Saccharomyces cerevisiae S288C: one gene and its partner. The protein of the gene in region 2 purifies or fractionates together with the protein of the main gene of each other region. This does not show direct contact. Each region holds a gene or a part of one and is shown on either strand. Other genes may lie near its edges.

What was found.
Region 1: the proteins of JHD2 (region 2) and LSM12 purify together in Saccharomyces cerevisiae (affinity purification with western blotting; 2 studies listed by BioGRID, with this or other methods). This does not show direct contact.

Annotation. Positions count from the first base shown.
Region 1 is NC_001140.6:350,807-353,819, forward strand, and holds LSM12 (Lsm12p), read left to right. Parts: upstream 1-1,949; coding exon 1,950-2,513; downstream 2,514-3,013. Other genes in the region: mismatch repair ATPase MSH1, read left to right, coding at 1-1,647; iron-sulfur cluster assembly protein CIA2, read left to right, coding at 2,819-3,013.
Region 2 is NC_001142.9:643,804-648,007, reverse strand, and holds JHD2 (histone demethylase), read left to right. Parts: upstream 1-1,517; coding exon 1,518-3,704; downstream 3,705-4,204. Other genes in the region: ATP2 (F1F0 ATP synthase subunit beta), read right to left, coding at 1-401; DMO1 (Dmo1p), read right to left, coding at 532-882; ILM1 (Ilm1p), read left to right, coding at 3,907-4,204. UniProt on the Saccharomyces cerevisiae protein: Histone demethylase that demethylates 'Lys-4' of histone H3, thereby playing a central role in histone code. Demethylates trimethylated H3 'Lys-4'.

The sequences.
Region 1 (3,013 bases), on a different chromosome or scaffold from region 2:
TCCCTTGATTTGAAAGAAATTAAAAAGCGTCAGAAAATTGTAGCATTTTTCAAAGACAACCGTGATATCACTGAAACACTACGGACTATGTTGAAAAAAGTAAATGATCTATCCCGTATACTTCAAAAGTTTAGTTTCGGAAGGGGCGAGGCATTAGAACTTATTCAAATGGCACGTTCACTAGAGGTTTCAAGAGAAATAAGAAAATATTTACTAAATAACACGTCGTTGATGAAAGCTACATTAAAGAGTCAAATCACACAGCTGACTGAGTCTTTAAATTTTGAAAAAAATTTGATTGATGATATTTTGAAGTTTTTAAATGAGGAAGAGCTAGCAAAGTCACAAGATGCTAAACAGAATGCAGATGTAACTAGAATGCTTGACATAGATGTAAAAGACAAGAAAGAAAGTAACAAAGATGAGATTTTTGAATTAAGAGATTTTATCGTAAACCCTTCGTTCAATACCAAACTTAGGAAATTGCATGACACTTATCAGGGCGTTTGGCAAAAAAAAACTGAGTACAATGCTTTATTAAAAGGTTTTTTTGTTGGCGACCTAGGTGCTAAGACTTTCACCTTGAAGGAAAGGCAAAACGGTGAGTATGCCCTCCATGTGACAGGAACAGCCTCTAGTTTAAAGAAAATTGATGAGTTAATTAGTAAATCGACGGAGTACCACGGAAGTTGCTTCCATATTTTGCAAAAATCAAGCCAAACACGATGGTTGAGTCACAAAATTTGGACAGACTTGGGGCACGAGTTGGAATTATTAAATTTAAAGATTAGGAATGAAGAGGCTAATATTATTGATCTTTTTAAAAGGAAATTTATTGATAGAAGTAACGAGGTCAGACAAGTTGCAACTACACTGGGCTATCTTGATACCTTATCGTCCTTTGCTGTGTTAGCTAACGAGAGAAATTTAGTCTGCCCAAAAGTGGATGAGAGCAATAAACTAGAAGTAGTGAATGGGAGACATCTAATGGTTGAAGAGGGTCTTTCCGCGCGCTCTTTGGAGACATTCACGGCCAATAACTGCGAATTGGCGAAGGACAATTTATGGGTAATTACCGGACCGAATATGGGTGGTAAATCTACATTCTTAAGACAGAATGCAATTATAGTCATTCTGGCGCAAATTGGATGTTTTGTTCCATGCAGTAAGGCGCGTGTGGGTATTGTAGATAAGCTTTTTAGCCGAGTTGGTTCAGCAGATGATCTGTACAATGAGATGAGTACGTTCATGGTTGAGATGATAGAAACATCGTTCATCTTGCAAGGAGCTACGGAACGGTCTTTAGCTATTCTAGATGAGATTGGCCGTGGGACTAGTGGTAAAGAAGGCATTAGCATCGCTTATGCAACTTTAAAGTATTTGTTAGAGAACAATCAATGCAGAACGCTTTTTGCTACACATTTTGGTCAAGAACTGAAGCAAATCATTGATAACAAATGTTCGAAAGGAATGAGCGAAAAGGTCAAGTTTTACCAAAGCGGAATCACTGATTTAGGTGGAAACAATTTTTGTTACAACCATAAGTTGAAGCCGGGCATCTGCACGAAATCAGATGCCATTAGAGTTGCGGAATTGGCCGGATTTCCAATGGAAGCGTTAAAAGAAGCCCGCGAAATATTGGGATAACTTTTGAATACAACTATTAATTGTATATAATTTGACATGTAATATAATAAGATGTGGAATCAATTTCCCTGTCTTTTTTTTCAAAAGCGACTGTGAAGATACTTAGAAAATGGCAAAAACGGTAGTTTGCAAATTTCCGTAGTTTGTCGCGCGAATGATATTAGCGGAAACAAAACGATCAAACCTTATACCATGAATATAATGGTGGATATTTATTACGGTAAGGAAACACTCTGAGCCAGGCTTGTAAATAGCGGTTATCTAAGCTTGTAACTAAAGAAATCAATTTGCATCTTTCGTCCATGAGTGTCAGCCTTGAGCAAACGCTCGGATTCAGAATAAAAGTTACGAACGTGTTGGATGTAGTTACTGAAGGAAGATTGTATTCGTTCAATTCATCCAACAACACTCTTACTATCCAAACAACAAAGAAGAATCAATCTCCACAAAACTTCAAGGTGATAAAATGTACATTCATCAAGCATTTGGAAGTCATTGGTGATAAGCCCTCGTTTAACTCATTCAAAAAGCAACAAATCAAACCCTCATATGTCAACGTGGAAAGAGTTGAGAAGCTTTTGAAAGAAAGTGTAATAGCATCTAAAAAGAAAGAACTCTTAAGGGGCAAGGGTGTGAGTGCAGAGGGTCAGTTCATTTTCGATCAAATCTTCAAGACCATAGGAGATACTAAGTGGGTGGCTAAAGACATCATTATTCTTGATGACGTTAAGGTGCAACCTCCATACAAGGTCGAAGATATCAAAGTGCTACATGAGGGAAGTAACCAATCCATTACATTAATTCAAAGAATAGTGGAAAGAAGCTGGGAGCAGCTAGAACAAGACGATGGTAGGAAAGGTGGATAGATTAATTAATGACGGAAACGATAATATACGTTATATATTTTATCCGTACTTCTATAATGTCAACTATTGTTTATAAAGAGATCCATTTGAGTCTACAGATTTTTCTATTTATCAAACTATAATATTCCACCACTCTCTTCTCAGTCGCAATGCTTGGGTGTACGGTGTTTGAATAATTGAATTAGATTTAAATGCGAATAAGTGATGACTAACAAGCAAAAAAATCGAGTATTTCAAGATCCAGTCGAATATAAAATCTTGCTACTGCATTATTCTACGATTTCCTGTTATCACTTATAGTACACATGTCTGAGTTTTTGAATGAAAATCCCGACATTTTAGAGGAGAACCAACTTCCCACTAGAAAAGAAGATAGTACCAAGGACCTTTTGTTAGGCGGGTTCAGCAACGAAGCTACGCTGGAAAGGAGAAGCCTTTTGCTGAAAATAGACCATTCTTTAAAGTCTCAGGTATTGCAAGATATAGAGGTCTTAGACAAG
Region 2 (4,204 bases):
TCACCGATAACGTTGATGATTCTCCCTAAAGTTTCTCTCCCAACTGGGACGGAGATAGGGCCACCAGTGTCAAGAACCTTTTCACCACGGACCAAACCTTCGGTACCATCCATAGCAATGGTTCTGACAGTGTTTTCACCCAAATGTTGAGCAACTTCCAAAACCAACTTACCTTGAGGTGTTTTAATTTCTAAAGCGTTCAAAATAGCGGGCAACTCTGATTGTTCAAAATGAACGTCAACAATGGCACCAATGACAGCGGTAACTTTACCGGTGATTGGAGTAGATTGAGCAGCTGAGGCCATACATCTTTTCCACGAAGTGGATAGAAGCGGAGCGGATTGTTTGGCTGCTTTAAAAGCAGCACGGGATGTAGCAGTATATAGTCTTGGCAAAACCATTCTTTTTTTTATTTTTGTTTTCTCTCAAAGATTCAGTATAAATTGGATAACAACAGACTAAAAAATGAAAGAAAAGAAAGACAAATTTGACTTGAGGAGGAGCACTTTTGTCTTCGTTTATGAGGGGGGTTTAGGTTGCTAAAATTTGTGTTACTGTTTGATCTTTGCAAAATTTATCCAATTGGCCTGTCCTGGAGAGATAAAGAAAGTTTAAAAAAGGGCAAGTTAAAATGTTTGTTCTGTAATACAAAAAAGAGGTTAATGCAAAAAGTGCGTTCTTTATAAGCGTTGTATCTAAGAGCTCGAAGATGGGAATATCCTTGCGCTGCTTGGCCGGCGAGGGGCCCACCCGGCACGCGCTTGGAGGTCGCCGTTGATTGGCCGCTATATATCGCGAATCACGGGGGTGTGTGTGCGACCCGGTGCGCCGGGTGGCATATGGGCGGCTAATTGCGTATAAGATGATAACATCCCAGCGCATCACGTGAAAGGAAATACATATATATGTGGCTTTATTACTGGTTTAGAGTATTTTTGTACTGTGACTACTACTGTATTTCATGTAGCAGAATACACAGCCTTTTACTTCTGTTCTTTCTCAAAGGTTCAAGAAATAGAATAGCCAAGTGCCATCAAGAACTCGAACTAACTTTCGTAGAAGGAGTAGTATACAGTCTTGCTTGTCACAACTCTTTCAGGAGCTTTCTTTTTAGTATTATACACGATCCGTATGCTCATCTCGTGATATAGAAGTAACGCATTGAATGCAAAGAAAGGCAGATATTTTACCCTAGGTGTAACCAGAAGAGATTAGGAGGGCTTAGGGCCAGTATTTTATCTGATGTAGGGCAAACGAGTAAAATGTGTAGGGTATGGGCTAATATCAAGGGCTTCGGACTTACTGCCCCGCTCACAGAAACAGCCGCACTAATTAATTTCTTTTGTGTAACGTTAAAGTAACCCTGGAATCATCATTGAAAAATTATCATCCCAAGAGACAGAGATGTGCATGTTGACAACGCAGGCTCAATGTAGAATAAGATCTGACTACTTAGTCAATTTTACCTCTAGATCATATTAACTAATCTCATCTTGCACAAAAAACGTATCACTATCATGGAGGAAATTCCTGCCCTGTATCCAACGGAACAAGAATTCAAAAATCCGATCGATTATCTCTCTAACCCCCACATTAAAAGGCTTGGTGTACGATATGGTATGGTCAAGGTCGTACCACCAAACGGGTTCTGCCCGCCACTTTCTATTGATATGGAAAATTTTACTTTTCAACCAAGAATTCAAAATCTGGAGAACCTAGACCTGAAAAATAGGTGTAGGCTATTTTTTATGAAACAGTTAAATAATTTTAAAAGATCCGTTAAGGATCCATCGAAACTTATACTTAGGGAACCTTATACGATTGTAGAATATTCAGATTCTACTCATGCATCGGAAATACTAAAAAAAAAAGTGTACTTTTATGACGTTTTCTCTGAACTAATAAAAGACAATCGGACACTTACTGACACTACACAGTCATTCAGGCGAAAATTGAAATTTAGAGATATTTCCCAATTAAGAGGCGACATCAGTCTATGGAGGACCATTTCTAAAAAATTCAACGTACCAATCGGCTTGTTAAAGGAAATTTTTGAGAAATATATTGCCTCATACTACATATTTCTTCATTCACTGAACGAGAACGTGCACACGGCGCTGCATGCTGACCAGTATCCAAAATCCTTATTAAGTGATGACGAGGACGATTTCGATCTTGGGCCAGATTCGAATTCTGGGTCGGATTTTGAGGAGGACGATGATGATGCTTGTATTGTTTGTCGCAAGACAAATGATCCAAAAAGAACAATTTTATGTGATTCATGTGACAAACCATTCCATATATATTGTTTATCACCACCTTTGGAACGTGTTCCCTCTGGCGATTGGATTTGTAACACTTGTATCGTCGGAAACGGATATTACGGATTCACTCAGGACACGCATGACTATTCTCTACCAGAGTTTCAAGAATATTGTAAACGTCAAAATTCAAGGTTATTACCAGCACGAAAACTGTCTATAGATGAGTTGGAAGAGATGTTTTGGAGCTTAGTGACCAAGAATCGTCGCAGTTCATTAACGACAGTTAAATACGGTGCTGACATACATAACGAATTGCCAGGTCAAATTACCGGCTTTCCGACGAGAGAATTTATACCCAAAAATATAAATGGGGACGAATTGATAGACTACCTCAAATATTGCGATCATCCTATGAATTTAACTAACTTGCCTATGGCTCATAATTCGCTATTACCGTTATTTAAAAGAAATATTTCTGGCATGACTATTCCTTGGATTTACATAGGCTCCTTATTTTCCACATTTTGTTGGCATATGGAAGATCAGTATACCCTAAGTGCTAACTATCAACATGAAGGTGACCCTAAGGTCTGGTACAGCATTCCCGAATCGGGATGTACGAAATTCAACGATCTATTAAATGATATGTCACCAGACTTATTTATCAAACAACCAGACCTACTGCATCAGCTAGTGACTTTAATATCTCCGTACGATCCAAATTTCAAGAAATCAGGTATTCCTGTGTACAAAGCTGTGCAAAAGCCCAACGAATATATTATCACGTTTCCTAAATGTTACCATGCTGGTTTTAATACAGGTTATAATTTTAATGAAGCTGTCAATTTTACTATAGATTTCTGGCTACCATATGGATTTGGTGCGATTACGGATTATAAATTAACTCAGAAAGCATGTGTTTTTGATATGTTTGATTTAATGATCAATGTTTTGGACAAGTACAATAAAGATACTCTATTGTTCAATGATGCTTTTGTTAGGCAATGTTACTCTTCATTGATCGTCTTTTATAATACTGAATTAAAACGCATACGGAAAATTCAGGCCATTGTACCACGGACAACTCTTTTGGAGGTGCATACTGATCCAAACGATGAAGATGAGGAATACGATATATTTTGTTCCCAATGTAAGACTATATGTTCAATAGCCTTTGTATTGCGAAAGAATAACTATGATTCAATTAGAACGTATAAAAGACACAAGAAAAACCATTTAAGTATTAGGCAGTGGAATGAACTATCCACGACGGACAGTAAAGTGAGTATCCTGTGTACGCAGGATTACTTAAAATCAATACAAAACTTGAACAATAGCGACGGTGAAGAACCTTATATTGACGATGAATTGTATTTCACTAAGTCTTTGAAGGATATTGACTCTTTAATAAAGCAAGTTGGTGTTAAGTTAGATAGATAGTCTTCAATATTTGTGTATGGCGTAATGATTTTTTAGAATAATACTTGGCATTTAGCACGCCACTTTTAGCGCGAAAACACCAAAAAAGTAAAGAAAATAATGTCGATCAATCTTTAAAGAGAGACAATTGAATGGTAGTGTAACAATTTACAACATAATAGAGTATCGCATTCAGCAAAAGTAAAGAATAAATTCTAAGAAAATGGCTCAAGCCTTGAACTCCACCAATATTGCTTTTTTCAGAGTAGCATTTTTATTCACGATCGCCTTCTTTTGTTTAAAGAACGTTAATTCTATTTTGCAAAATACATATTTCATAGTCTTAACGCAAGCGATGAATTTACCGCAGTTAACACTGTCACGTTATAGTGGTCAATTGGGTCTTTTCGCTCTTCTGTTTACTCTTAACGGTGTTCATGATCTAATTCCCCTGTTAGAAAACAATGTTAAATACTTCCAATCTGTTGTGCCAGTTAGATTACTAATTTTTTTTATTTTGA